Linked DNA regions of Kluyveromyces lactis. The protein of the gene in region 4 purifies or fractionates together with the protein of the main gene of each other region. This does not show direct contact. Links are inferred from orthologs where the notes say so. Each region holds a gene or a part of one and is shown on either strand. Other genes may lie near its edges.

Evidence for each region.
Region 1: the proteins of NAN1 (region 4) and PWP2 purify together in Saccharomyces cerevisiae (affinity purification with mass spectrometry; 6 studies listed by BioGRID, with this or other methods). This does not show direct contact. The link is inferred for Kluyveromyces lactis from reciprocal best matches to the Saccharomyces cerevisiae genes NAN1 and PWP2.
Region 2: the proteins of NAN1 (region 4) and UTP15 purify together in Saccharomyces cerevisiae (affinity purification with mass spectrometry; 6 studies listed by BioGRID, with this or other methods). This does not show direct contact. The link is inferred for Kluyveromyces lactis from reciprocal best matches to the Saccharomyces cerevisiae genes NAN1 and UTP15.
Region 3: the proteins of NAN1 (region 4) and UTP5 purify together in Saccharomyces cerevisiae (affinity purification with mass spectrometry; 4 studies listed by BioGRID, with this or other methods). This does not show direct contact. The link is inferred for Kluyveromyces lactis from reciprocal best matches to the Saccharomyces cerevisiae genes NAN1 and UTP5.
Region 5: the proteins of NAN1 (region 4) and NOP14 purify together in Saccharomyces cerevisiae (affinity purification with mass spectrometry; 3 studies listed by BioGRID). This does not show direct contact. The link is inferred for Kluyveromyces lactis from reciprocal best matches to the Saccharomyces cerevisiae genes NAN1 and NOP14.
Region 6: the proteins of NAN1 (region 4) and RRP9 purify together in Saccharomyces cerevisiae (affinity purification with mass spectrometry; 3 studies listed by BioGRID). This does not show direct contact. The link is inferred for Kluyveromyces lactis from reciprocal best matches to the Saccharomyces cerevisiae genes NAN1 and RRP9.
Region 7: the proteins of NAN1 (region 4) and UTP7 purify together in Saccharomyces cerevisiae (affinity purification with mass spectrometry; 5 studies listed by BioGRID). This does not show direct contact. The link is inferred for Kluyveromyces lactis from reciprocal best matches to the Saccharomyces cerevisiae genes NAN1 and UTP7.

Annotation. Positions count from the first base shown.
Region 1 is NC_006039.1:783,159-787,839, reverse strand, and holds PWP2 (snoRNA-binding rRNA-processing protein PWP2), read right to left. Parts: upstream 3,305-4,681; coding exon 569-3,304; downstream 1-568. Other genes in the region: CTR86 (Ctr86p), read right to left, coding at 1-239; MPP6 (Mpp6p), read left to right, coding at 3,957-4,484; YIH1 (Yih1p), read right to left, coding at 4,601-4,681. UniProt on the Saccharomyces cerevisiae protein: Required for bud-site selection and cell separation. Also involved in nucleolar processing of pre-18S ribosomal RNA.
Region 2 is NC_006042.1:1,275,132-1,278,959, reverse strand, and holds UTP15 (snoRNA-binding rRNA-processing protein UTP15), read right to left. Parts: upstream 2,429-3,828; coding exon 866-2,428; downstream 1-865. Other genes in the region: SLD2 (Sld2p), read left to right, coding at 1-716; AIP1 (Aip1p), read left to right, coding at 2,988-3,828. UniProt on the Saccharomyces cerevisiae protein: Involved in nucleolar processing of pre-18S ribosomal RNA. Required for optimal pre-ribosomal RNA transcription by RNA polymerase I together with a subset of U3 proteins required for transcription (t-UTPs).
Region 3 is NC_006039.1:578,782-583,121, reverse strand, and holds UTP5 (Utp5p), read right to left. Parts: upstream 2,774-4,340; coding exon 878-2,773; downstream 1-877. Other genes in the region: HPT1 (hypoxanthine phosphoribosyltransferase), read right to left, coding at 1-173; negative cofactor 2 transcription regulator complex subunit NCB2, read left to right, coding at 3,905-4,340. UniProt on the Saccharomyces cerevisiae protein: Involved in nucleolar processing of pre-18S ribosomal RNA. Required for optimal pre-ribosomal RNA transcription by RNA polymerase I together with a subset of U3 proteins required for transcription (t-UTPs).
Region 4 is NC_006040.1:573,735-578,566, reverse strand, and holds NAN1 (Nan1p), read left to right. Parts: upstream 1-1,722; coding exon 1,723-4,278; downstream 4,279-4,832. Other genes in the region: dynamin-related GTPase MGM1, read left to right, coding at 1-495; DNA-directed RNA polymerase core subunit RPB10, read right to left, coding at 1,021-1,233. UniProt on the Saccharomyces cerevisiae protein: Involved in nucleolar processing of pre-18S ribosomal RNA. Required for optimal pre-ribosomal RNA transcription by RNA polymerase I together with a subset of U3 proteins required for transcription (t-UTPs).
Region 5 is NC_006039.1:1,426,158-1,430,885, reverse strand, and holds NOP14 (snoRNA-binding rRNA-processing protein NOP14), read right to left. Parts: upstream 3,136-4,728; coding exon 622-3,135; downstream 1-621. Other genes in the region: autophagy protein ATG9, read left to right, coding at 1-580; proteasome regulatory particle lid subunit RPN5, read left to right, coding at 3,692-4,728. UniProt on the Saccharomyces cerevisiae protein: Involved in nucleolar processing of pre-18S ribosomal RNA. Has a role in the nuclear export of 40S pre-ribosomal subunit to the cytoplasm.
Region 6 is NC_006038.1:969,969-973,948, forward strand, and holds RRP9 (ribosomal RNA-processing protein RRP9), read right to left. Parts: upstream 2,497-3,980; coding exon 793-2,496; downstream 1-792. Other genes in the region: KLLA0_B11055g (uncharacterized protein), read left to right, coding at 1-334; chromatin-binding protein CTF4, read right to left, coding at 2,862-3,980. UniProt on the Saccharomyces cerevisiae protein: Involved in nucleolar processing of pre-18S ribosomal RNA. Required for efficient pre-rRNA cleavage at sites A0, A1 and A2, and biosynthesis of 18S rRNA.
Region 7 is NC_006039.1:804,240-808,188, forward strand, and holds UTP7 (Utp7p), read left to right. Parts: upstream 1-1,272; coding exon 1,273-2,949; downstream 2,950-3,949. Other genes in the region: KLLA0_C09240g (dihydroorotate dehydrogenase 2), read right to left, coding at 1-544; proteasome regulatory particle base subunit RPN2, read right to left, coding at 3,138-3,949. UniProt on the Saccharomyces cerevisiae protein: Involved in nucleolar processing of pre-18S ribosomal RNA.

The DNA.
Region 1 (4,681 bases), on a different chromosome or scaffold from region 4:
ACAATTCTCATATACTGGCTACTGCAAGCTTGTTTCAAATCAACAGATTTTCCAAGTATAGCTGATTCTCGAAGTTGGAAGAAGATATCTTTCGAGCTGGCGATTTCATTTCTTCTATCTTCTATTGTGGTTTCTTTGATTAGGTCATTAAGTGAATCAATTATAGTAATGTACTCTCCTGAGTCACTTGGTGCATCGTGGATTAAACTGTGAAGCTTGGACCACCTAATTTCAGACATGTATGTTTAAAGCGCTTTTATGAACAGTAGAGCGCAATGTCACGCTTTGTACCGCAATTTCTCTATTTTGAATATTCTTCATCTCATCTGATCTCATCTCATCTCAAAACTGTTCCTGAATTATAAGGTTTTTAACAATTTTGAATTTTTAATATGCATGTAACTTATCAGATTAAGAGGCAATAACGTAAGTTAAAAACGGACAACAGTGAAAATCTCCATGTGAATTCGTGGTAATGATTGTTTTATTGAAATTAATGAGATGTGATTTTATATATCTATCATGCTAGGAATTATATATATTCTCTTTTTAGTGAAGTATCCCGATTTCATAGTAGGATTTCGTCGTCAGAATCTTCGTCATTAACAGGAAGATTAATAGTTTTTTCCTCGAATCCAACCCATTCACCTCCATCTAAATCGTCGTCCATGTTGATATCCTCTTTGTCTTCAGATTCGTTGTCTGAATCATTGCCCAGTAGATTCATATCCTCGTCAACAGCGTTAGTTGAAGAACCATCGGTATTTGTCAAAAAGTCTAATGTGTACTTATTTCTCTTGTATGTTTGGACGACGTCATTTGCCATTCTACCAATAAATCTTTGGACAGCTCTCAATGCGCTAGAGAATTGATGCTTATTAGTAGAAATGTATTTGCCGTGGGCTGTAAGTACAGATTTGATCCAAAGGAGATTGAACTCCAAATGCTGTGATTCTAAAGCGTACTCACCAATGAATTTTAGAATTCTTGATACGTAAACCACTGGCAACTCGTGAGCTATCAATGGAATATCCTTTATTGGAATATTCTCATATACTCTGTGGATTAGATAGCCCTCATTTAGACGGAAAGCCATTAGTATGGCATTGAGATATTCCTTGTCATCTAAGCTTTGGATAACATTCTGTGGAGTCACATCGACGTCAAGATCGAAAGGATCAAAAAGAATAGTATTATCAACGGAATATACAAGTAAACCTTCTGTTGAACCGGCGGCAAATGCATTAGCAGTAGGAGAGAATCTTATAGACGTCACTCTGATCGCCGGTCTGACTCTTCTTGTCGATAAGTCACCTCCTCTATTCGAACCAGGAAGGCTGTTATCTACGCGATCTTCCAAGTCTGAATTTTCTGCATCTTGATCAATGAGATCCAAAGATCCTGCTTCTGTCATTCTACTTGAGTTTAAAAACTCCATGGTGCCGTTTAACATCATGTTTTTGGATACGGTAAATCTTCTTAGCAGTACTTCGTTTGGAATGTCATAAAGACATATGGAATTATTGTTACCGGCTGCAACCAAAGAGAGACCATCGAAACTGTAATGAATGGTGGTAAAATATTTAGATCTTGCTGAACTTTCTGATGTGAACCGATCTTCCAAATGTCTACCCGAGATTATATCCCTTTTGCCGTCAATATTTCCCACCTGTTTGCCCTCAGCAACATCAAAGAATAATATTTGCCCCGCTAGAGTACTTGCAGCTATTTGTTGACCATCCGGTTTCATAGAAATAGATAAAACATCAGAAAATACTTCAAAAGGCTCTACCTGTTGACTTCTACCGAAGAGAGACCACACTCTAATTGTTTTATCCCATGAAGCGGATGCCAAAACTCCATTCTCATTACTGAAAGATAAACAGGAGATAGGACCTTCATGGCCAGATAGTGTATCCACTAACTGACCAGTCTGTACTGACCAAACAAAAATGTCAAAGCTATCTTCCGACCCGGCACATACAACTTCTCCGCTTGGATCAACTGCTAATGAGTTGAACTGTATTCTTTCGGTCGCAGTGAACGTTCTGAAATTACGATATCTGATCAAGTCCCATGCTTTCACGGTACCATCCAAAGAAGCTGAAAACAAAACTTGACCTTTTTTAGCAAATTCTACTGCACTTACACCACCTGCATGTTCATCAAAAGTTGCCAAACAGAAACCTGACGCGACATCCCAAATCTTGATCTTACCTTCGTGACTTGCTGTGACAATCTTCGATCCATCTGGGGAGTAACACAATCCATTTAACGTATCGAAATGACCTTGTTGTTTTAGAATATATGACTCTGATTGCCATTCGTACACTATCAATTGCCCAAGTTTACTAGAACCGAAAGCCAACCATTCACCAGAACTGTTGATGGCAACCGTATTAACTGCATTTTGACCCATTGAAAGTTGTTGAATCATGATGAATTCTGGCAGTTCATAGAGTCGGAATTCACCGTTTGAGAAACCGACTGTTAATATGTTGGATGCAGCATGGAATGCAGAACACTTCACCTTTGCTCTGTTTGCATGGAAAAAATTCTTCTTTGTGATTCTCCAACTATATTTTGACAAATCTACATCTTCCTCATCTTCATCATTGTCTTCCCCTTCACCAGGCTTTTTGGTGTATTCCCATTGGAATAAGGCACCATCTTTACTGACCGTGTATATCTTTTCCTGGTCATCGCTGAAATATGCTCCGATAACGTTATCTCTATGTCCTGCAAAAGTCGTCGATGCAAGATTTTTCTCCTCCGAGTTAACTGACCATATCCTTGCCGTTAGGTCCTTGGATGTGGATATAATAAATCTTGAATCTTTTGACCATGTCAAGGAAGTTATATCAGAAAAGTGGCCGGCATGGATTCTATAACGAACAAAAGGTGCAAACTGTCTATCCTCAGTGGTCTCGGGTGTCCTCCATATTTGTAAGAATCTCCCACAAGCCAGCGCAAATAACTTGCCATCAGGTGAAAACTTCAAGTCATAAACCTTTTCTTTGAAGTTGAAATGATGCAATACGTTTCTTGTCTTAAAGTTCGCCAAGATACCACGACCATCGACATCAATGGAAAGAAGTAACGTACCTTGCTTGTTGATATCTACAACGGCAACGTTCTTCCTATGTTCATATTCGAAGGTAAAAGCAGTATTGTTGATCAAATCAAATACCGACACCCTATTACCTACCGGTGAAAGTAACTTGGAACCATCTTGAGAGAACAAGACGTTACCTTGCCTATAAACAGTTCCCAAAAGATTGGAAAACTTAAAATCAGACTTCATCCGTAACTAAACCCTTATAAAGCTCGTCTGACCTGATTCCTTCCAACTAATTGAAATTGAACAACTGATTATAATGCAAAGTCCTTACAAGTGACTGATAATCCGTCTGCACTTCCTGCTTGAACTCATCTCATCTCATCTCATCTCATCGCTCAATTTTTTCTCTTAAATTTTTCGAAATCCTGTATGCTGAATGAAAAAGAAAGGAAAACATATACAGCTTTAGCACGGAAGTAAAGAAAGAGAGAACAGAAACATGTCGGTTTTTGGGTGGATTGTCGTTTATGTCAGCACTTGAAACTTAGTATGAGTACTTCATTATAGCTGTTTTCATACTTTTACCAATGACCTTTTTATTTCATTTATTTTTGTACAATGTTCCTTTTATAGTGCAGATCCTTGCATTCTGAAATACGTCCGACGGGGTTTAACCATGGATATTTCTATCTTCTTGCTATCTTTCATTTTCCGGACAATCGTAAACAAACTTTTCATGAAATTCTAATATGTAAGATCAAACCATTCAGCAGAAGATTGATGAGATGAGCTGTATTAGGACTTTAATGATACATTAAAAATGTATTCCAGTGTCAATGATATAGTGAAGCCTATTTGAAAGCGGTAATAGGGGCACTAAGACGAAAAGGTAACAATGAGTGGACAGAAACGGCATGAAGTCACAGGCAAGTTATCCAATAGAGTGATGAACATGAAGTTCATGAAGCATGCGGAACAAGCAGACAAAGTTAAACAGACCGAGGAGACAATAAAGAAATTGGTGGACTCGTCAGAATGGAGGATAGGTGACAATGTAAAACTCTTGACAAAACTTGCTAATAAATCAAAAGTGGTACAGAACGTAGGTTTCTCTGCTATCAAGTCACTGAATGATGAGGATTCGAAGATCGATACAAACGATCTCAGCACAAGCACACTACGGACTAGTGTAAATGCAGGAAGAAGAATATTCGGAAATAAACTCGGACGAGCTACGCCCGGTTCAGATGGGAGTTCTAATGATAAGAAAAGAAGTTTTGAAGAAAAGGACGAGGACGATGTGTCGACGACAGATTTAGAAAAGCTATGGGAAGCCGAAACACAGACTAAGAAACAGAAGAAATCCAATGGTAATGGTAATACTGAGAGGAATAAGAAGAAGTCAAAAAGGAATAGAAATTAAACTTCATAGCAGGATGCTAAATGAGACACTAGTATTTGTATATTATTTTCGCCGACTTATATAATAAATAGAGTAGATCAAATTCCGGTAACAATACTCCATTCTATAAATGTGAACTATTTTGACCTCTTCTTACTTGAAGTAGAGGTAGCAGCTTCTGTGAAATGCCCCTTCAATATTACTTCTCTAGTTGTTGA
Region 2 (3,828 bases), on a different chromosome or scaffold from region 4:
TGAACTTCTCAATAACGCCGAACTCTTCTCCAATGAAGCAAGTTCCAAATCTATCTGCGAATATTGTTGTGTCAAGACCGAAATATGGACCAAACTCCCCAATGCGGATCGGCGATATTGGATTGCAGTTGTCAGAAACACCAAAGACGCTTGGTAGAACCCTGGATTTGAAAAGTTCTCCCTTCAGCCCATCGCCGCTGATTAAAAGGCCGGTGAAGACACTGTCCCAATTAGCGAAGGAACATGCCATTATAAAAGACGAATTCGAATCTAACCCAGAAGATTTCAGCGAATTCACTGCGATTAGAACGCTTATGGAAAAGCTGATGCAGGAAGAACATATGGATATAATTGAAGAGGGGGACGAGGGAACTGTCGGCAATGAAACTGAGAGCAATTATGTGCGGAAAGTTAAAACCATAAAGAAAAGAACAAAAGCGAAGATGAGACCAGCAGCATTAAACGAGAAGTCGACCAACATTCCAGACAAAAATGTTCATGAACAGCTAGCAAAGTTGAAGGAACGTGAGTACAATAAAATGCTGGGTAAAGAAGTGGAAGAAAGTGAGTCTGACTCTGAACAACAATCCAATCCACCCGTAAAGAAGAAGCAACGTAAGAGTAAATACAACCTTGTTAGCAACAACTTCAAGCGTTTGAATCTTCCAACAAAGGCAGGAAGAAACAGAGCCAGTAAATGGAGAGGAAGAAGGTGATTTCTTCAAAGTCAGAACGTTAAAAACAAAGAAACAGACGTAACGAACGGGATGATACAGTTGTTGCAGTCTATGTACTATAAATGTAAATAAATATAATCTTTTACACGCATTCCTTTTTGTTATAGATCAGTGTAGAAAGGATTTTATCAGTTTGTTAACAATTGGAGCATACCCTCTATCTTTTGTGCTTCTTTTGCTTTGCGGATCTCTTCCCTTACTCTTTTCTTTAGAGTGATTACCATCTCTTCAAGTACTGGGGACTTCTCCAGTACACTACCGTAGAGTTCAATTACAACCGCAATCCAGTCTGCAACAATTGGTGCACTTCTAACATCTTCTATTCCCTTCAAGCACCAGTTGAGTAGTGGTTCTAGAGAACTTTCGTCTCTACCGTATAATGCAACCTTGATTTTACCTCTTTTCCTTAGTTCTTGTAATACCGTTAAAGTTAATTCTTTAGCCATACCGGGGATAAATGCAGAATCTAATGCGTCAGACCATTTGAATTGGTTGATATGCCTTTCGAATTGACGCAACTTACGCTGAGGATTTGGCTTATCGTTGTGTATAATATGCTCTTGATCACCTCTGTATTCGGACCCTCTCATCATTCTCTGGAAATTGTTGGATTTCGCAGACTTCTCTTGCTGTTGTAATGGTAAATCCTCCAAATCAGAGACATCAGCGAGGTTAATCTTTTTGGACTTCTTCTTCGTCTTGATGGCTAGAATTCCTGAGGATAAACCTGCAACGAAATGTTTATTACCTTGCGCATCGCCTGGTGAGACTGCACAACTTAGCACAGCGTTGCTAAACTTCCAGCCAAACTTGAATTGGAAGTTCTCCAACGGGGAAAAGATCTTAACATGACCATCAAGCGAGGATGCAACTAGTACGGAACTCATTGGTGATTCTTCTCCCATATTTGTGTAATTCAAACAGGTGACCGTCTTTGCGAAATTTTGACGTTCACAAAGGGCTCTATCGCTAGTCAAGTCCCATACTTTGAACCCGTTACCACCACACGATGCAAGCTGAGTAGGAGATATGGCTGTGATATCTTCCACAGGAAGACCGTGATCCAAAGTTGTCTGTGGTTTATCTGATTTCGTTCTAATATCGTACAATCTAACTACTCCATCGTACGACCCTGTAGCGACCATATGTGGAGCATTTGGCACAAAGCAGACTGATCTAACATAATCAGATGCTCCAGTTAACTGTAAAGTGGGTTCATAAGCATGAGAAACATCCCATAGTCTCACTACTCTATCGTCGTTTGCCGTCACCAAAGTCTTGTTATCCTGATCGTGAAACTTCGTCACATGCGTAGGATGCGACGAAGCTTGTATAGAAAGCAACAAAGTACGTGGATTATAACTATCATAAACGGACACTAACCCAGTAGCGTCACCTGCTACTAAAAGTTTACCGTCTTGACGGAAAGTGGCCGAATGCACCACATCTTTAAACCTAGAAAACGTCTTGATCACTTGTCTTGTCCTTGACGAGAAGACCTGTACCCTAGTAGAAGAGGTAACTGCAAAATCATGTGGATGCTGGGGATTGAAGGCAATATGAGTCACTGCATTGTGCTCTTTAACAAGCTGAGTAGATGAATAAGACCTCCAGTACCTCTGCTCTGGGGTGGTCTGCTTTGGTAACACAGGAGCCTTTACCGGCGTCACTCTAGGTCTCACAGACGACATTTTCTTCACAATATTTCTACCAATCTGATCGCCTGAATCACCTCTATCACTTAACAGTAGTCTGACGATACCAAACCGACTGATATAACTCGCAAATTACAGGGAAATCTATTTTATCAACCATGCGATGAGCTAAGGCTTCAATCATTTTTTTTTTCCAAAATCTGGTTTCTTTTCTTTGAAGACTCGAAGAATCTCGTTGATTGTGATTTTTCAGAGAAGAATAACCGTTCACTGTACTTTACAAGCAGATAAAGGGCCTTTAAGGCCCTTTATCTGCTTTTAACCTGGTTTCCCAGATTTTCTTGATTCCCAGGTATTCAGCAATACCACTTTCATTATACTAACTGGTATTTAGGATATCTTTTCTTTGTATTTCTGCATCCCAGTAGTTATTATTTCGTCTATTTACATTCCATATGTATGGAATTTATTTATACTCACCAGTTTATCAAGAAACTAAACCATGAGAACAGGACACGTTTGAGTCAGGAAGAGGTCTTTCTGGTGCGTTTACAGAGTGTTCCAAAAGTCAATTGATCTAGTATCTCGCGATAATATGGTTTCGATTAATTTAGCAAAGGTTTTTGCACCTCTCCCTTCTACAAAGAGAAACTTTACGACACATTTATCATATGATCCAAAGACTGACAGTTTAGCTTATGGTAGCGGTAGATCTGCCATCATTAGATCTTTAGATGGTGAACATGTCGTTCAATTCAATGGCCATGGTACCAGTAATGTCACTGTTGTAAAATTTTCTCCTATCCAGGGGTCTCAATATGTTGCTTCAGGAGATGATTCCGGTAGAGTTATCGTTTGGTCTTGGAATCAGGACGATAAGTCTGGAGAAATTGAGTACAACGTTAAGTCGGAACTACATGTGCTCGCTGGTCCTGTCGCTGATATATCCTGGGATTTTGAGGGTAAAAGATTGGCTGTTGTTGGTGAAGGTCGTGATAGGTTTGGTGCGTTTGTCTCTTGGGACTCGGGCAACTCGTTAGGTGAAGTCTCGGGTCACTCTCAAAGAGTCAATGCAGTTCATTTCAAGCAAAGCAGACCAATGAGAGCTTTCAGTGTCAGTGATGATGGTTCTGTTGTGTTTTACCAGGGTCCACCTTTCAAGTTTGCAAGCAGTGATAGAACGCATCACGGCCAAGGTAAATTCGTTAGAGACGTCAAGTTCTCTCCAGGTGCAGGGAAATATGCTGTGTCTGTCGGTAGCGATCGTAAGATATGTTGCTTTGATGGTAAGACTGGTGAATTTATCAAATACATTGAGTCTGAAAAGGCTCCAATTGGCGGTGGTTTGTTTGCTGTCGCATGGTTAGACGATGGTGAAGAGTCTTCTAGAGTTGTTACCGTGGGTGCTGATTGCACTGCAAGGTTGTGGGATGTGT
Region 3 (4,340 bases), on a different chromosome or scaffold from region 4:
GTTGGAATACCAGGTTCTTTCAAAAATGTACGAAGAATTCTAGCTGGGATAAAACCACCGCCGCCAATAGCGATGATAATATCTGGCTTGAATTTCTTGATCCTTTCGGCTGACTCTTGGCAGAGCTGATGCACATTGTTATATGAGATGTATTGCTTATCGTCAGAAGACATGGTTTAATCTAACGAGAACCCTTTTTTAATTCTTTAACAGAAGACTGAAATTAATAGAAAAACTCTCCTGCTCTGTGCCTGCAGCAAAAAAGCTATGAGATACTTTAACTTGGGTAACCTGTGGTTGCCACTTCTTTAAATAAGTATATCAAAGATTTACTGATCAAAGAACACTCAACGAATGTTCAAATGGAAGATGAGCCGAAAGAATACACGACACATTTATACTTTATCTGTCAAAGATATAAAAAAAAACAAAACGAAACGATAGATACTGATCCCATGGACAAGATCAACTCCCGTACCGCGAGACGAACCTACGTGCTTGCAACCAGTAGAGAAATTCTAAAATTGTTTACGAGAACGGGATTTCCGAGCCGGATAGACCGTCTACCAAAAATGCACGTTCTAAACCAACACAGAACACCTCATTAAACGCTTCTACATTTTCCATGTTCCACGCTTTAAATTTTTAACTTGTTTGGTTCTGGATTAAATTGAATTCTGAGAGCATCACTAGCAAACAATTGTTTTTTTTAATTAGATTATTTACAGACAGAGTCAAACTCCGATGTTTCCATTACCCGGCCATAATGATCAATCAAGCTTAAAGCTGCATGGAGGAAGAATGTCAGGTCTAAGTCGATACATAGCAGCTGCATTTTTCAATGCGTTAGCGTTTTATATTTTTTCTTTTATGTACGCTAATGCTGAACTTCTTCGTCAGAGTATCCTTCTTCAACGTCGACCCTCATTTCGTCATCGTCGTCAAATCCTTCTTCAGTGTATGTAAGTTCCTGATTATCAGCCTCGCTGTGTTCGTCATCATCTTCAGAGTACTCTGCACTGTCTTCACCATCGTCTATTAATCCAGCATCGTCTAGCTCTTCTATATATTCCACTTCTTCCTCTTCATCTTCATTTTGGTTCGACTCGTCATCCTGATATGGAGCGACAAGTTCAGAATCAAGTTGATCCTTGCCGTATTGTACGGCTCTCTTACTGTTCAATTCATCTAATGAACGTGTAATACGTGTATCCAATGCCATGAGTGTTGGTAAGAGATCTGCTCGTTTCCTCAAAGTAGCATGTAGCGATGACAATGAATTTATCAAATTTGGAATGGTAACTAAGTAACCCCCGTGAATTATTAGGCACCATTTCACCCACACGTTCAAAGCACCTTGTCTATGAGTTTGTCTGGCGATACGTTCAGCGAGTCTTTCCAAGAGAATCGTAGCAAGTTGGGGGGATAACCTGGTTATGGTTGCTTGAATGACTTTTTCGTCGCGTGTGTTAAGGACTGTTTCCAATAGAGCATGATCATTTGATTTTAATGCTTGAGCTAATACAACAGAAGAAGTACCAGCGTTGGCTCTTCTCCTTTCCTTTGGTTTTCTCGATGGTGGTGAAATTATATTTAGTCTATCCTGTAAAGTTTCTGAAATCCCTTCTCCTTCTATATCATCTAAACTTTGGACAATGGATTCCACATGCTTAAAGTTATCACCAGATGTTACCGTTGCATTACCCTCTTTGTAGAGCTTTGCCGAAGAAATATCACTGTTTTGGTTGTTCCTGGTTTGTGTAGATTTAGCAGATGGCAATGGCTTGGATAAAGTGGTGACTGAATCCGTTAGGTTACCTAATTGAACTTGATCAAAGTAAGGTGTGGTTGCATTTTCTAACCACGAAAAATTAATTAGATCTTTGTTGATAAAACTTTTGATAATAGGCAATCTGGTTGCGGAATTAGACCTTAATAAAGTTATAGTTTTGTTTTTTTGTTTGGATATCTTACCAGAACGTCTCTTATTCCCTGAATTGATTGATACCAAAGGTTCTTCAAAGATAGCAATATCCCCATCTTCTGTTGTTGCCGACACGTGAGACCAATCCTCAGATATCGAAATTGATATAACGTTCGAGTCCGCTACTAGGACGGACTTAGTCTTGGTAGTGTCCAAATCATAAATATTCAAAAATCTATCGTCCTGAGATGCACTCAAAAATGCTGTTCCATCTGTGGTCACTTGAAGGAAAGACACAGGTGAAATATGGCCAGGGTATTGTAACAACAATTTCTTTGAAATGACATCGATTAAGTAAATTTGATGAGAAGCGACAAGAATACGATTGCTATCAACTATGCATAGCTTTTTTAAGTCCTTACATTCATCAATTTTGAATTTTTTTGATACATTCTGTGATACCATGTCGAATAAAAAAATAGTATCATCACCAGTCAAACACCAGGCCTTGTCCTTGCTTGAAAAGAGTTGGAAATCTAAAACTGCTAAGCTTGATCCTGTGTTCAGTTTCGCCACTATTTCATTCGATAAAGGAGAGTATAGCCATATTTCCCCTAGGTTTAGACCCAGAACTACCAATGGTGTGTCATTGTAAGTAATCCATTGTATGCATGTACAGCAGACGTCTTTCCCCTCCAAATAGAGAAAATTATCGTTCACTAAACCAGATTTGGAGGCAGTTGTTGGCTCCACTGATACCCGCTGTTTATCCAAAGCGGTGGAAACGTATGCAAAATATTGTCCGGTTGGATCATATTGTGATAATACGACTGGCGAAGCTGTTGCCATCGTTAAGCTTGCTATTGTTATTCGTGTGGTAGAGTGTAGACCTCTAGCTTAAACAGTACGAAAGCCGGTGATTGTTCAATTAATATCCCAAGACGTTTTATCGAAACACTTTAGGAAAGAAGTAAGTACACAAAAGTAAATACTGTGCGATGAGCTCAGATGAGATGCGATGAGATGAGCTATGAAAAGTTTCAAATGAAAAGCTTTAGCTTGGAAAGGAGAAAGAAAAGTGAGATTTACTTACAAAAAACAAGTGCCGGGTAATAAGAAGTTAGCATATATTGTTCACGTGATTTGGAGCATATAGCCAGTGGTCCCCAATTTAAGGCTTTTCTTCAGGATACATCCACTGAGCTGAGTTCGTTAACTCAGCTTTTGCAATCTTATTTTACAACCTCCAAACATTGCCTTCCTGCTTTCAAGTTATACACTTCATATCTCCTAACAAACACTAGTTAGCATTTCTACTGTGATGAGAGGAAGCTGGGTGATTAACACAACATAAAGAATTTACGTCAAGTAAGGAAAGAGCTCCTGCCTAACAACCAAGGTCAACACTTATATGTCTCTGTCCTGTTGCTAATTTGAATATACATCTATATATATATATTTTCCAATCAGAATTCCCTTATTGTCCCTTGTTTGCATAGGTGATGCGATGTGTGCGATGTGTGTTGTTGTTTTAATTTTTTTTTTTTTATTTTCAACTTTTCTTCTTAGTTTGATTCGTAGTTTTATATATAAAGCATCAAAAAATGTGCCAATTTGGCGAGCCATATCATTTTTTTGCATAGTGAATGAAATAGCGATGAGTATTTTTTTAGTATATATTATTATACATAATTCAGATCTAGAGTTCAAGGAGGACAAAAAAGTGTAATACCAGGCATTTAAAAACAAAAGTTGACATTGTTAAATTTGTTTACAATCTGTTATCATCTCAAGTTCATCCAATTATCTAATTGATTACTACGTGAAGTGCTTGTTTGGTATATTGACTTGCAGCACAGAATTAAGTTCGAGAGTATTATAGTTTTTTCAGGGAAGCTTGCAAAACCAAAAAATAATAATCACAAGCTTTATCTTAGAAAATAAAGACCGTTAGAATTTCAACCATAAGCAATTGAAAACATGGTTGGAGAGGTTGACGACGTTACATTACCGAAGGCTACCGTTCAAAAAATCATATCTGAAGTACTTGATTCCGATCTAACATTCAGTAAGGAGGCTCGTGAAATAATCATCGAATGTGGGGTAGAGTTCATCATGATGCTAGCGGGTTCTGCTAGCGAGATCGCAGATAAAGAGTTGAAAAAGACGATAGCGCCTGATCACGTGATCAAATCCTTACAAGATTTGGAGTTTGATGAATTTATTCCACCATTAGAAGAGATTTTACATCAACACAAAGAAAACCAGAAGATTAGAGAGAGGCGGGATGCTAAATTCAAGAAATCCGGTTTGTCTGAGGAGGAATTACTACGACAACAGGAAGAATTATTCAGACAATCTAGGTCAAGGTTACAACAGACATCAGTATCGGACGCCTCAAGCAACGATCCAGAAG
Region 4 (4,832 bases):
AACGCTGTTGGAAACAGAAAGCTAAATCAAGTTATTCAATTCTTGAAACAGGATCCAAATAGAAAGGAGACTCTTGGATTCTCTGCCCTACTGCTTGAAAGGGGCCATGAAGCGATGTTCCTACAAGATAGATCTTCATTATTAAATTTCAGACTCAAGTTCTTGAAGAACAAATGTTTCTCCGTGACTCAGAAAGATAAATGCCCAGAGGTATTTTTGAACGCAGTAAGCGATAAACTAACATCAACCGCAGTATTATTTCTAAATGTTGAGTTGTTAAGTGACTTCTTTTACAATTTCCCAATTGAATTGGATAAGAAACTAAGTTTATTATCTGATGAACAAGTCGAGATGTTCGCTAAAGAGGACGTCAGAATTGCTAGACATATTGAATTACAAAAACGTAAAGAATTATTGGAACTCGCTTTGGAGAAAATAGATTCTATTCTTATGTTCAGAAAATCCTATAAGGGACTGTCGAAAAGAAACCTATAATGATCACTGTATCCTATACAACCGCTTCTGGAACACTTTATAATGACTACTATTTACGAGATCACTGTATATAAACAAAACTTAATCTTAATATGTTTCTACATGGAAATATGCCAACATCTTATGTAAGGCTTCCCGTCTTTAAATAATTAATGAACTTTTTAAAATCCCAACATACCAAATTTATAAAATCAGATGAATATGCTTTATTTAGGTGATGTGAATAGTATACAATGCAATAGTACATGAAATAGAATTGTGTGCATGCGTGCATGCGTGCTTCTTGTGCTTTCTTTATTTGTCGTTTCAGCAGCTGAACAGAAGTTACAGCAAACAGATGGTAATTGAAACTCAGTGGTTTTGTCTATTCTGGAGTCCATACGTCGAACGTAATAAAATGCAAACAAAGAACGCAAGAAAACAACGCGGTAGTAACCAGTGGCAGAAAAGTGAAGACGTAATTAAAGAGAATGGACCATTTTAGTGTAGAAGGGGGTATCGCAATTGATAGTAAAAGCAGACCACCTAATCTCTTTTTTCCAAAGGATTGTATCTCAAGAACTTTTCAATCAAATCGACATGTGTTAGAATCATTCTTCTGCAACAGTATCTCTTCAACCCCAATCTAGTCAAAGCAGTACCTTCTTCTAGTTCTTCTTCTTGCAACATATTCAAATAGGCTTCCCATTTGTCACCGACAACTTTCCCACAGGAAAAACATCTAACTGGAACAATCATCTCTCTTTAAAAGTATATCGAAACGAAAAAAAACCTAGAAACCTGGAAACCTGGAATAAACCCTCCGAGATTTATAAACTATCACAATAAGTGGATCAAAACCTGCTCGACCTTTTGAAAACTCATATAATTTGCATCACAAATCATCATATTCAACCAGCTTTCTTAATTCTTAATACTTTAATTTTTCATCGGTTCCAAATTTTTCATTAGATGCCCTTATATGTCACTTCTCACGATAGAGATGACCATCGTTTCTTTTCAAATCCTCGTCCTGCACAGGTTTCAACCATAAAATTTTCCAAAACTACAATTCTACATACGGTGAAAAAAAAGAATCCACATTAGACAAATAATTGAAAAGATGCGATGAGCTTATGAGTTATATGATGAGCTTGTCTTTTGAGAAGCAGAGAAAGAAAATACCAAGAGTAGGATCAGCCAGAGGCACCAACAAGAGTATCAGCTGTTATCGAATCCACGTTAAATATGCCAAACTCTTCGTTACCAATGTACAAGCTTTCTGTTGTTTCTGGTGGGAAGGTCGCTCTTCCTAGGATTCACAATAGATCCGCGACTAGAAAATCGGTGAGTTGTCTTACTCAGGACGGGTCAGCATACATTGTCCCTTTCAACAATCAGTTCAAAGTGTATTCAATTGATACTAGACAATGTATTAAGACATTGAAATTTGCTAATAATGATATTTTGACTTCGATACTCGATGAGCCTTCTGTAGAGGTGGTGCATATCGAGCCTATTATTGACGATGAGATGGATAAGATCAGAGTGTATACCAACACTGCGAAAGTAGTTATATTGAAGTATAAGGGTAAATTAGCCACGGAGATTAAAACTTGGTCTTTGAATATTACTGGCGAGTTATTTGCAGTTCTTGGCGATGGGAAGAAATTACTTACAGTTCAGAAAACAGGGAACTCTTACAGATATGATCTATATGAAAACGTTGAAGAGAAAGAGGAAGAATCTGAGGTTAAACACCTTGAAACTTTTGAGAATGTTTTACTTTCAACTTGGTCTAATAACAATAACTACCTTGCCCTAGTTTATTTGAACCAGGAAACTAAAAAACATGTGCTGATCAAATCTATGGTCGACAACAGTTCAGTTCAGAACTTCCCAGTACCATCTACAACATCTAGTACCACCATAAATTCCCATTTTGTCACTGCTCTTGCGTTAGATAACGACGGCCAGCAGTTGGCTATTGGATTTGCATCTGGTGTTATAAATTTGATCAATCTACCTGATCTGTCTCATAGATTATTGAAATGGCATATCGACTCAGTCCTATCCTTAGGATTTACAAATGACAACGCATATTTACTGTCTGGTGGTTGGGAGAAAGTTTTAAGTTTTTGGCAGTTGGCTACTAATATGCAACACTTTTTGCCAAGATTGAACGGTGTCGTCCTGGAATGCTTACCAGTAAGTGATAAGTACTATTCATTAGTGTTACAATTCGCTGAAAATAATACAAATTCTGACTACCAGATTACATTGCTCAATGCCACAGATCTATCATCAATACTTGCCATCAACGGCCCATTCCCGGTATTTGATACCATTACAAACGATGTTGAACAGCCAATTTCTACAGTTAACTCGAAAAGTTCTGTGTCGTCATCCAATATGCTACAATCGAAGAAAAAGCAAAAGAGAAAATTACTAAAGAGGAAAAAGCATGATTTCACCGCACCTTTGTCTGTACATCCATCTACAAAACATCTCTACTTACCACACGTTTCATCTTTGCAGTCTTACGATCTATACAAAAATGAACAGGTGAGCTACCAGTATGTTACATCCAGTGTCAACAATGCAGCAGGTAAGGTTAGACTTGAGTTAACTATCCAGGACCCTGTTGTACAGGATGTGAAATTCACCCTAGATGGTTTTTGGATGATCACATATGAAGTTGAGTACCCACCTGAGGGTTTATTGTCTTCTAAGGAGTTGTCACACGTTCTAAAATTCTGGAAATTAGATGACAACAAAGAATGGGAGTTGAAAACTAAAGTGTTGAACCCACATGGTAACAACGTCCCAGTGACAAACATAACTACAGCTCCAAATAGCATAAATTCTTCCCAGGGTTGTTTGACTGCTGATAACAATGGTGGATTAAAATACTGGAAGTTTGATTCGAAACAGAATAACTGGTGTTTGAACAGATTATTACTACCCAACTACAACCATTTTTCGAATTCGGTGCAACTAGCATGGTCCTTAGATGGCTCCTTAATCTTCCACGCTTTTGAAGATAAGCTATCTACCATTGAATTCAGCGAATTCAAACTACTGGAAGATGAAAATGAGTTACCAATCGAACGCACTTTGGATACTCCAATTCAAGCTCTTACACTTGTCAACGATTCGACATTGATAATCTCCACGAAGACTTCCTTGCATTCGTTCAATTTATTGACACAATCCACCATCAGCAGTTTCGATATCTACCCTTATGTGAACGGAGTTTACAAACCGGGCCATTTTGCCAGACTACTTGCATGCGATGCGAACACTGGAAGAATCGCACTTGCCATTAACCAACAAGCAGCAGGAACTGATGGCAATCCAACCTTACAACATAAAGCCAACATTTTAATTTTCAATTCCGATCTAACAGAAAAGTTGGGCAGCTTCGAACACAACGAATACATATCGTCGTTGGTATGGAATTACGCGGCAGATTTTATTTTCATGGATATCCAGTCTCGTCTTGGAATCGTGAGCACCACAACCAGCTCGGAAATGGTGGACGAATCGAATAATGATCAAGCATTTGAATCTCTACATCCCGATTCATTCAGCGAAAAACTACAAGAGCTTACGAGAAAGAAAGGTTTGGCAAACACAGATGCTGAGGATGGTGTAGATGAAGACATAGATCTAGAATTCATTAACGGGAACTTGTCACAAAACAAGACCATTAACATGAACAGTTTTACAAGTTTGTTTGAAAACATCGACAACGTTCAAATGAATACCTTGTTTGACCGCGTCATGAAGATTATCACATAGATGTTTTATACATTGACTCGAACATACGTATGTGTATATAATACAGAGAATATTTAAACAACCCTCCATTTAATTATTTATTCTGTCACTGACAGAAAAAATACTCGATGACAGATTAAATATGGAAAATAAAATAATCTAATAACTGTAAAATAAAACAAAAAACTAATGCGACAGAGATCAAAAAGAAGGAAATCACCTCCAAAGCAAATTAAGGCAGATGTTATGAAACATAGTTCCACCATCGCATTCCCAAGTCCATGGATGTACTGACATCGCTCCACTTCTCCCGGTAGAATACGTCTTATACAACGCTTTAAAATTAATATTATATCTGTTTTCAAACTACCAATACCATGACCACTAGTCCAGTGACTCACAAATCCACTTGTATGTTGCTTCCCAGTAGAGTCACAGACCAATCCACTTTGTTGAGCAAATTCTCATGTCATCCTTTTGCTGGTCACCATTTTATAGAGAGCGGTGTGCATGCTAAATCACACTTTATCCATTTTTATCAGAATCACATAGAAACGCACGTACAAAACGGTAAT
Region 5 (4,728 bases), on a different chromosome or scaffold from region 4:
CTCCCTGCCAAAGAATTCAGAAAGAATAATAGATTTTTTTAGAGAATGTACCGTCTATGAGGAGGGGTTGGGATACGTGTGTAAGTACGCAATGTTTGAAGCTACTAAAATTGACAAAGGTACCAAGGCCAAAAAACAAACTAAGAGAATGTTTTCCCAAGCAGAACAGGATGATAGTGAAACCGAATCGGATGAGGGTGTTAACAAAATGCTTCAGTCATATATGTACTTCGTTGACGATTACAAGAATGCAGGCAATGCAGTGGGCAAAAATCAGCTACCAGCTTCTCCAATCGAGCCATCTTATCACCCATACAGCTCTACTAAAGACTATTCCTGGAAGACACAATTTGCCTTAGGTAAAAACTCCAATCGTAAGAGAAATCTTAATCGATCAAGGGTGAAGAGATTCCCGGATCGTAGTTCGGACCTTGAATTAGGCTCATTGAGTGGTTCACTTATCAACAAATCTACCCTTTTTAAGGATGATATTGCTGATAATGCTGACGAACTGAAGGCGGGAAATGGTGTTATGGGCCTATTAAACCAATATTACAAAAAATCAGATCGCAATCGATGATAAAGTTTATTAATGTTGAGTATAGATTATATAATATGCAGTTAACGTTTGGTATTACGGAGCTTCTTTTCACGCTCATATTTGTTTTTCTCAGCACCTTCTTCAGTACTGATTTGATTGACAATACGTGCCATCTTGGAATGGTAATCGGCGTACTCCTTCTTCTTTTCTTCAATGCCTTGTCTTGCCTCGAATCTAGTGTCTTTACGTATTTCTTTCATAGTGAACTTACGTTCCTTCTTCAATTGCGCCTTCATCTTGTTCAACTCACTTCTGGTCTTATCTGGATCATACGACTTCTTATCTGGGTTGAAGTTCTCTTCGAATTTAGGCGTATTTGATGGAATCGCCAGTGGTTTATGCTGTTGCAACGTCAATGGCAGACGTTCTTGGAATTTCAATAGCTTTTCGATCTTTTCCACTAATTGTTTTGGTTTAGAAGTACCAGGATATACTTCGGCAGCCACGTTTAGTATGTCTTTGAAGGGATTAATGATTTCTGGGAAGGCAGTAAGATCTTTCCAGATGTTCGTTATGCACCAATCAATTGATTCTAGATTGTTGACCAGCACGGACAGTTTGATAGATTCTTGCTTTTCTAGATCCTCGGAAAATAATGAGTGTAATTCTAAAGAAGGGGCGACCTTGGACCAGTTAATATCCGAGCCTACTATTGATAAATTGTCCTCCTGTTTTTCTTTGTTTTCTAATGTTTCCCCTTTGGTACTCGGTATTAGAGAACGCAAAGATGTCTGCAAGAAGTATGTTAACTCAGGAATATAACGCTTGCTTATACGTTGATACTGGATGGCGATTCTAACCAGTATCGAACCAAATATTAATTTTTGAAGAGAATTGAACCTAATTTGTTCCAAAAACTCTGCAATTAGAAGCAGACAGGGAGTAATGACTAAATGATAGTGATCCGAAGTGGAGAACAACATACCAACAACAGAGAAAAATACCAAATCTGATGGAGATAGTCCATAGAACTGGGATTCTTTGAATCTAGTCTGAATATCTGAGATGATATTTCTACAATCCTCTGATAGTGGAATGGTAAACTTTTCTGAAAGAGTCTTTAGAATGCTTACTAGTTCGTTTTGTAATGATGCAATTTCTTTCACATTAACCGAGTAATCTTCTTCAGCCAAGAAAAGTATATGTCTGAGCAAAACAGCAGTGAATTTGCCCAATTTTTCTTTGTTTCCCTCAGCCAATTTTGGTTGGTATGTTTTTACTATTCTTTTAACTAAAGATGGATGCTCTTCGATAGGATAAGATTTCAAGAAATTTAGTAAGTCATCGTGAATTTGAGGACATGGAACAGAAGGTATAACTCTTGCTGAAGGTCTACCATTTGATGTAGCGTCGTATTCATTGTCATCATTGTTATCCTTCTCGAAATCAACGTCGTCATCCGAGTCAGGAATTGCTTTGATATATTCACCATATTCGCCCTCCTCAGAGTCGCTATCTTCCCAAAACTCTTCTCCCAAATCTTCAACACCAGCATCTTTTTGATCTTCAATGTTGAAAATACCGTTCATACGATCAAGCCTTTTCTGCTCCAATTCCTTTTGTTTGTCCTCATATTCTTTCTTAATCTCTTCATCTGTTTTAGTTCTATCTGCAGGGGCAGCTCTTTTCTCCAAGACTAACTCTTTCACCTTGATATCATAATCTGGAGCGATGTCTGTGGAGGTCGAAATCTCAGTTTGAGAAGGTTTAGTCTTTGGTAACGTCCTTAATTCAGACATAATGCTTTCGAAATCGTCATCAAGGCCTTCGATATCTTGGACCAATTTCTCCTGCGCCTTTTGTCTTTCATGTTTGTAAAATTTGGATTTAGCAATGACCTCTTGCATGACTTCTGCCTTAGTCTTCTTTCTTGCTGGCTCTTGCAAAGCGTCATCACCTAACCCTTCATCTCCGTATTGATCCGCCATATTTCTTTTACCAGCTTGTTTCAACCTGAAGTCCTCCGAATCAGAATGCTGTAACCCCAAATCACCTTCATCGAAATCATCTTCCAAGGAAAGAGACTTACCATAATGAGTCAACTTTTCACCGTACACGTTTTCATCCTCACCACCATCGCTATCGTCTAAATTGAATAACGATCTTTTCGTCGAAGATTGACGTTGTCTTTCCTTTGTGAAACGTTCCAACATGATCTCCTCGGAAGTCAAATTCTTATCCTTTTCACCAAAACGTTTATCTAAGACACCACCGCTTCTGTTCTTGCTGGACTTCTTGGCTTCGTAGAACATTTTACGTTGATCTTCACCGGCTTGTTTAGTGATTCCCGGCTTACCTACTGCAAGTTTAGCTGCAGATTCCCTCATCACACCAACCTTTTTATTACGATTTGTTTTCACATCAAACGGATTAAACTGTTCCCTAATTCTTTCAATAGTCTTCTGTCTTTCTTCTCTATCAAACTCCCTGGGAGATTTGCCCTTCTTCTTAGAACTCTTCTTGACATTGGTCTGACCAGTCAACCCATTAGCCTTTAAAGCGGCCTTCAAGTTCTTCAACTGTGAACCACCCATTATTATTCGACTTTGTAACCTATTTGCCCACAGACAAGAAGAATGGTCTAAACACAACTGATGATGCAAGTCAATTCAATACAATCGGCCAAGATACTGAACCTTCTGACAGCCTTTGATTTAATCCCATCTCATCTCATCTCATCGCTCAATTCATCTTCTGTCAAACTTTTAATGCTTTTTCACCGAAAAGAAAGAAAATAGTTACCCGCACAATAAAATCAAATCAAGGTTACCCGAATATCCAGCACAATCATTACGAACGATGATGAAGTCACGTTTTTCTAAGATTCGATTGTTACTGTTACTGAGGAAGCTTTTACCGTAGCTTGTCATTTTAAAGGCATTATGAGAAATAAAGGAAATCAGTTACAGGTGGCAAATATATACGAAATAACCGCGAACAGAGGTACAGCAGGTTACAGTGTCGGTTCTGAGACTGTAAGTTTGTGTGGTTTGAATACAGGACGGATACAGAGAAATTGATTGTATTGCATTTCGGTTTAAGTTGAGCAGGCAGAGCAAAGAGAAAAGAGTATAAATTATATCGTAAAATATGTCCAGAGACGCTCCAATTAAGGCAGAGAAAGATTATACCGAAATCTTGGACGCTGAATTTCCTAAGCTTGAGATTTTGGCCAAGAATGATTATTCCAGTGCTTTGGATCAATTGTTAGTGTTGGAAAAGAAGACTAGACAATCTTCTGATTTAGCATCTTCGAAAAGAGTCTTGACTAAGATCGTAGATGTTTTGGTCGCAGCAGACCAATGGGACCTACTTAACGACCAAATCATGCTTCTATCAAAAAAGCATGGTCAATTGAAGTTATCTGTGCAGTATATGATTCAGTCTGTGATGAAATATTTGGAAGACCTGAAGGATTTGGACACCAAGATTAAAACTATTGAGACGATAAGAACCGTGACTGAGAACAAGATTTTCGTGGAAGTTGAAAGAGCTAGAGTCACTAGAGATTTGGTTCATATCAGAAGATCTGAGAACAAGATCGATGAGGCCACTGACTTGTTATGTGAATTGCAAGTGGAAACGTATGGGTCCATGGAGATGTATGAAAAGATTGAATTTATCCTTGAACAAATGGAATTAAGTATCCTAAAAGGTGATTACTCTCAAGCCACTGTGTTGTCCAGAAAAATATTAAAGAAGACTTTCAAGAATGAAAAGTATGCAGCATTGAAATTAGAGTATTATAACCTTTTGGTAAAGATTGGCTTGCATAAGAAAGATTACTTAGAAGTGGCTCAGTACTACCAAGAAATCTACAACTCTGATTCTGTGAAGGCAGATGAAATTCAATGGAAGGCAGCTCTATCCAGGGTTGTATACTTCTTGATTCTATCGCCATATGATAACCTACAAAATGATCTCATTCACAAGGTTCAGTTGGACAACAATCTAAAGAAATTGCCATCCCAAGAATCCTTGGTAAAACTCTTCACCACAGCAGAACTAATGAGATGGCCAATAGTACAAGATACCTACAAAGAAATTTTGAACCAGGACGGCGTTGCATTCGGGTCTAATGAATCACACTGGGAAGATCTTCATAAGAGAATCATAGAGCACAACTT
Region 6 (3,980 bases), on a different chromosome or scaffold from region 4:
TGTTGCGTCTGTTTTATCTGCTTCGTTAGAAAACAAGAAGACTGCAATTACTTCCCATACTTTAGCTCGTGCTACCGGTTTGTTAGCTATTGCTTCTTCTAACAGTACCAACTCTACTACATCTACTATACATTCCATTAACACAACTACTTCTGAATCTCAATCTCAATCATCCAAAACTACAGTGTCTGCAACTTTGACTTCCTTGACAAGTGATTCTTCTACCGGGGCTTCCACTTCAGGCACTTCAGAGTCTACTGGTGCTGCTTACCAAGTTGGAATTAACGACGCTTTGATTGGTGCTGCCGCTGGTATTGCTTTGGCCTTCCTATGATTCCTTTACTTTGGGAGTTGTTTGCTTTCTCTTGAGACGATTTGTGTTGTTTATTACTCTTTCGTTCCTTGCTTGTTTACAAGAACATGAGGAACGCTTAATACTTAAAATAAAAAAATCCATTTGACTTTTCCCGATCTTTTCCTTTAATCCTTTGAGCTATTCCTTTGATGTTCCCGCATTTAATTCTCTACGTCGCTGGCTATGTGAATTAAATCTTATCTGTTCTCAAATTCGTTCTCTAACACCTTATTTTATCATGGCTGACAATGAAAGACACTACTCAAAATCATGTCACAATGATTTCTATTAATCCTTTCCTAGTTCTCTACATCATTGATCGGTTAGAGCTCTCTATATATAAATATATACCCTTGTAACAATTACTAATGTATTTCGGCTTTATTAAAGTATTCTTCTTTTTACTATACAGGAGATTTTTCTATTGATAAGATTAACTAGAATCCGGTTTGTTCTATCACAGCAGAAAAGATACCATTTCTTGCACCTGGTACCTTGCTAATCCATCTTCCTAATCTATGTTCTTTACTGACACTTGCTAGAATTCTGAAGGTTTCTCTACCGGTTCTGCCGGATTCTACGGCTTGAATTTTGGTTACCACACCTTTACAGTTAGGTAAGTCTCCTAATAGTTCAAATGCTCTTAAGTTCTCATTGATTTTCCATACCTTCAGGGTTCCATTCCAGGATCCTGAAATGAAAATATCAGAATATGGAACGGCGTATAATGATGTTATCCAAAATGGTTGGGCAATGGATCCACCTTGTAATTGTGCATTGCGTAATTCATCGCTCACTTCCCCAGAGATTTTTTTATCCTCAACTAATGGTACAACACCATGAGCAGTTCTAACGGTGAAAAGAGGTTTCTTTTTGGATAAAGACCATAATGATATATTTCCGTTATCAGAGCCAGTAACGAAATGTGAATCATCTACCATGCTAATACAATCGATACTTCCCTCGCCATAAAAGTGAGGTGGGGTCTGTTCATGCATATCTTCTCCGCCTTCTGCGGACAATTGTTGGTTCTTCAACCATTTTTTCCTCAGTCTTTCAGGATCATCACCACCTCTGAATGTCAATCTGGATTCGTCAGCTATTTTCCACAACATAGCGGTACGATCCCTGGACCCCACTGTCACACAACGCTCCATATTTAGGGCAGAGATATCAATAACCAAATCCTGATGACCGTATAATATTTCCAGTTGAGAAAACTGGTTAATAGCATACGTTCTGATTTTGTAATCGGCACATGCTGCGAATAATTGATCCGAATTCTTCTTGAATGCTAATCCTAAAACCTCACCTCTACGATCTTTGGTTGGAATAATTTTCACAGGGGCTAAAGATTCGGTACTCCATACTATCAGTTTACGGTCACGACCACCACTAACTACGTATTTACCATCAGGAGAAGCTGCCACCGTTAAGATTTCATCGTAATGACCTTCTGTCACATTCTCGTACTCAAATTTACCTTCCGGTATGTATTTTCTACCACCTTTAACATATTTCACTTTTTTTGGTCTAGCTTTGAAATCAGTAACATCATATTTTGTTAATTGCATGTCCTTGCTAACAGTGTAAGCAAATATTTTGTCCTTGCTCTTATTTTGAACATCTTTATGAGAAAACTTGTTAACTGAGGGTTGATAACACGAAATACATGTTAGATTATTTTCGCCTACTCTTGTAAACGTTGTTCTGGATTCACCTATCAAAAGCTTATTTGAAATCCATCTATAGATACGCCCTTGTTGCTCTGCAACATCTTGTTTCAATCTGGAAGCAATGATATCTCTGTCCAAGTCACGAGCATCAAAGTTATTGTAATCCTCTAATTGTGTTTGACGGTCCTGTTCAGTGCTTGCGGTCGCCAGAGAATCGCCAATATCTTCAGCTTCAGCCTTTAAATTCTCTAAATATTGTTTAGCCAATCTTCTTCTCTTATCAGCAGGGTTTTCGCCTTCAAACTCGTCTTCAGATTCCAAGTATTCTGCTACCTCATCGCCATCATTGGATTCATCTTGGACATCACCTTCATCAGAAGAAATATCCGTGATTTCCTCATCTACCTCTTCGACAGAATCCCTATTACGTTTTTTTGAGACATTGCTTGTACTAGATCTAGCCATGGTGTACTTGGTGGCCCTCTGGTTGCTGTCTCGTCTGGTTTAGTTGCAGCTCATCGCCTGTTTCAATGATGTTGGTTCAGATGTACAATTTTTTTTTCAGTATCGCCAATTTGTAAAAGAAACGACACCACTTGAAAAGTGACAAAAATTGAAGAATGCATGAACTTGCAACAGAATTAAATAATAGTTTGGAAGACTTTACTCGATTCAACGACCTATATGCCTGATTTCATTGGTATTGCTAGAATTACTTAGTTTAATTTACATTACGGCAGAAAATGAACGTCAATGCACGGATCGGAAAATCAATTATTATTTAAACTGACAATACTTATTCTAGTCCAGATAAGAAGAACAGGGGATTATCATATATTATTGAAATCGGCCTCAAATTTGGCCTCAATAATCGTGTTGATTTTTCTTACTAGTGGAAGTAGTTCAGCTCTTTCTGCAATTTTTCTTGCAGCAGATAGGGCCTTATCTTGCTTCAGTTCGTTGACGATTGAAACGGCCTTGTTAACATCTTGCTCGGAACAGACATAAGCTAAAAGTCGTAGTAAGGACTTATCATGTGTTGCTACCAGATGCTGTAATAGATCTGTTTCATTTCCGTATATCTCACCTTCATTATCCATCGTGTCTTTTAGTAAATCACTTAGTATCTTGGAGCGTAGAAATTCCTCTTCTGCTGCTAGGTACATTGGAATTTCGACACCATTACTGTTATCAATATCTTCCACATCGCTGCTGTCGTTACGATTATCGTCTTGTGTCTTTTGAAGCTCGGATTTTGATACAACTGGGATTCTGACTTCCATTTCTGTAGGAACGGTCATTGGGATATCTGGCCATGCGTTCTTCCCCTTCAATAATAAATACGAAAATGTATCGAAGTTTAATCCTAATGGCCAAACGTGGACGTTCTTCGGATGCTTACCCCCTGACATCTTCCAAAGTTCTAAATTGGTATCAACTATGGGTACCCATCTCGCGTCACTACCACTTCTCCATTTGGACAGAATTAACAAAACATTATCATGACCAAACATACACGGATCACCAAAGCTTGAGAAGAATAAGGATTTGATACCTAGGGGGTTGAATGAATTGAAAATATCATCGTATTTTAAAAATTCAATGTCTTCATCATCATTTCCCGGCTGATTCTGTTGAGGCAACGTTATTGGTAAGGGAGATTCTCTTTGGAAGTATTTATTGCCAGTTTGCGGATGTTGTTGGAACATCGAGTAAGTAATACCATGATATTGTGAGTAATGAATGGTGAACACTTTGTACTCATGAGCAGACAAAGCAACAATAGGTGACATTTTTTCTATTGCCAGTGGTAACCCAAAATCGTTATAAGTACGAAGATATCCGAGAGATGTTCCTACAATTACACGTTTAGGAGTACAGGCAATTGAAGTAACTCTTTCTTTGGAAAGTAAGGGAATCTTTTTAGTCCATGAATCTCCAGAGGGACT
Region 7 (3,949 bases), on a different chromosome or scaffold from region 4:
GGCCGGATGAATTGAAACCGTATCTGTTGATAACAGCATCATCCAAAGGTAATCTAAAGAATCTAGGTCTTGGGTTTCCTGGTTGTGGTAATGGAGTCACAGAACCAATCTCTATATAACCGAATCCTCCGGAAAGTATACCGTCGATGGCATCACCATTTTTATCCAAACCGGCAGCACAACCAATTGGATTGGTCAATTTCTTACCAAAAATGTTCACATTCAATACCTTATCATCGTTATCGAACCATAATCTTGGAGCCAACCCATTCTTCAAGAACCAGATACCTAATTTATGCCCATCTTCAGCATCTGGCGTTACAAGTCTCAACATCGGGCACAAGACGTACTCATGGAAAGCAGACCTCGAATTGGAGAAATAGAATCCCGCAAATGAACCAATGGCTATCCCAACAGTGTACTTCAAAAGCTTAGGGCCAGAAATGCCTGCTTTCAATGGGACCATGCCATTCTTGACAAAGAACTGCGATTGATTTAGCGTAAAAAGTTTCTTGCTCAAAATACGTGGGAACCCACTATTCATAGTTGATAAAAGCAAAATACGCGGTATTCGGAGTGACCTCTACTTGCCTATTCCAATCTTGTATAACAAGAGAAAAGAACAACGATACACGATCTAGCTCTCTATTCATTGCGGGAGGACCAAAACATTAGTTCAAGTTCTTCATTTTCATTTCATTTTTCAGTTAAGACTCGACGGAGTGTTTTCCGGAAACACATCTGTGAGGAACAAAAGTATGTGACTAGCAGATGCCTGGTGCAATTAGCTCAGAGGTCACCATTGCATATTAATTTGTACTTTGATTTAATTTCTTTTAGATACCTATCATATGTCTAGATGCATAGAAGGTAGTATACTACTTTACACCGGTACTACAGGATGCAGATCAAGTGAAAAATACTCAGGGAACTACTCTTAACTACTCTTTCAAGAAGAAATGATTGCTATTTTGGTTAGAAATCGTTTGGACTCATTGGGTTTGGTATTTATAACTGAATTTCCCCACGTTTTGGGCATGTACTATGCGCCGATTGATCTATTTATCAGTCATATACAATTCTTACTTGGTAATGTCTATCATTCTTCAGCTCAACTTAAGGATTTTTTCTTTTTTTCTCGAGTATCCAATATCGAAAATTTTAAGAAACGATGAGATGAGATGAGCTTCACAATATAAGGTTCTGCAAGTTTACTGCTACATCTTCTGATATCAGGTATCACTTCACGAGAAGCCGAATCAATATTCAATAATGGTTGCTAAGAAAGGTAGTAAGTCACAGTATAGTGACCTACAACGGAGAGACAATCAGGACAAATTTGAGAGATCGAATAACGATGATGATGCCAACGGGTCTCACAAGATGCAGAAGAAAACCAAGGATAAGAAGTTAAAGGCAGGATTGAAGCGTATTGATCAGAAGTATAAGGAAGCGGTACTCTCTACTGCTGCTACAGAATATCTTTTACCCGAAGAGCATGGTTATTTAGAAGCAGAAGATGAGATGGAAAAGACGTTCAAGTTCACACAGGCTGAAATCAAACACCATGTTGACGCCTCCATGGCCAATAAGGCATTGGACTTGAAATTAAACGATTTTGGTCCGTACCGTGTAAATTATTCCAGAAATGGTACGCATATGCTTATTGCAGGTCGGAAGGGCCATGTAGCATCTCTTGATTGGAGGAAAGGTGAACTTCGTGGTGAGCTAAATCTCGGGGAGACAGTGCAAGCAGCAACATATTTGCAAAATGAACAGTTCTTTGCAGTAGCACAAAAAAAATACACGTTCATTTACGATCATGAAGGTGTAGAGCTGCATCGTTTAAAGCAGCACATAGAGGTCAAACATTTAGAATATTTACCATATCATTATCTCTTGGCAACAGCAGGACAAACAGGTTTTTTGAAATATCAAGATGTTTCGACAGGTCAACTAGTATCAGAGATCAGAACTAAACTAGGTCCTACTACAGCGATGGCTCAGAACCCTTGGAATGCAGTAATGCATTTGGGACATAGCAACGGCACAGTCACTCTATGGTCACCATCAATGCCATCACCACTGGTAAGACTATTATCATCTAGAGGATCAATAACAGGAATTGCTGTAGATAGACAAGGTTATTATATGGCCACCACTGGTTCCGATAAATCTTTAAAGATTTGGGATATCAGAAACTTTAAAGAAGTACATAGTATTGAGAACATGCCTACGCCCGGTACTAACGTTGCAATTTCAGATACAGGTCTACTTGCAGTATCAAGAGGGCCTCATGTAACAATTTGGAAAGATACGTTGAAAAGTGGGAAAGCTGCTAGACCGTATTTCACCTCTAGCGGTTACAAAGATAGAAATACTCCGTATATGTCTCATTTATTCGCTGGAAATAAAATAGAGAACTTCCAGTTTGCGCCATTCGAAGATTTGCTAGGTGTTGGACATCAAAAGGGTATAACCAATTTGATTATTCCAGGCGCAGGGGAAGCCAACTACGACGCACTAGAGGCCAACCCATACGAAACAAGCAAACAGAGACAGGAACAAGAAGTGAGATCATTATTGAATAAGTTACCTGCTGATTCTATAACATTAAATCCAAACACAATAGGTACAGTAGATTCTCGTGCTTCTCAAGTCAGATTAAATGCAAAGGATCTTGCAATTATCTCGAATGCAGAGCAAGAAAAATCCAAACTAAACAAAGACATTCCTGATGCCAGACCTGATGTTAAAGGTAAGAACTCCGGATTACGTGCGTTCCTACGAAAGAAAACTCGTAATGTTGTGGATGAAAGGAAGTTAAGGGTACAAAGACAACTAGAGAAGGAAAAGTCTAGCCGCCAAAGAAAAGAAAAAATTAAGAAGGGTGAACTTGCTGATGATCACAAAGACCTTGTTGATGAAGCCTTATCAAGATTTTCTTGAATCATCAAGTAGTTATCAATATGTATACTTACATGAACACTTATATAATCTGTTATTATAGCCGGCTTAGTATCGACTGTTGCAAAAACATGTTTGAATTATTTGCATATAGATACGACTTAGTTTGAGGTGATTATTTACTGTACATTATGAAGGATGACCGCTATTGCTAGGACCTAATTTCTCGATTAAAATTCAAGAGAATCCTCGACTTTAAATGAAGATGGTAATGGGGCATATATATCTTTTGTTTGTCTTACGGTCTTGATTAATTCTAGTGGTTCTTCAGGTGTCTTATCCTCAACGATAATGACACCTGAGTTTCCTCTGAATTTGCGAACAGGTACAAAACGGCTATCTTTCGCAAAAGATATGAATTTGAGTTGCTGCGGAAGCACACGGGTGAGGTTTTCAACATCATAGCTCGTTGTCGTGTATTTGATCTTAGCTTCTTCAGTATTCTTGGCCTCTTCCTTCTTTTTTTCCTCCAGTTCCACCTCTTGCTTTTCTTCATTTACTTTTTCTGCATCCTTTTCTTTAACCTTTTCATGTTCTCCTTTTTTACCTTTCTTAGCTCTTGCCTTGGCCTTGGCGGTAGTTGACAAGACGGCAGCTGCAAACTTTTCTATATTTTTGTCCACCTCTTCTTCGTACATGCGAGGATAGGTGAAAATTCCCTCCTTCGTATGACATTTGAAAGCAAATTTAGGAATTGCCAAATCGCTAGCACGCAAACCCACTAAGGTAGTTGGAGTGAACGAAAGCGATAAAAAGTGGGACAATGGGAACCAGTACCAAAATTGGGAGAACATCATTAAACCAATTATTGATCTACTGTTCAAAGTTCCCATTTCGGTGTTCTCCAATTCGATGGTTACATTCCTACCACCAGCGTTCATGATACCTTGGGCAATACAGGCACCGAACTTTGCTAGTCCTTCCTGGTGCTTGTTTCCAATTACTGACATGAACTGTTCATTAACTTCCTTCACCTTTGAAT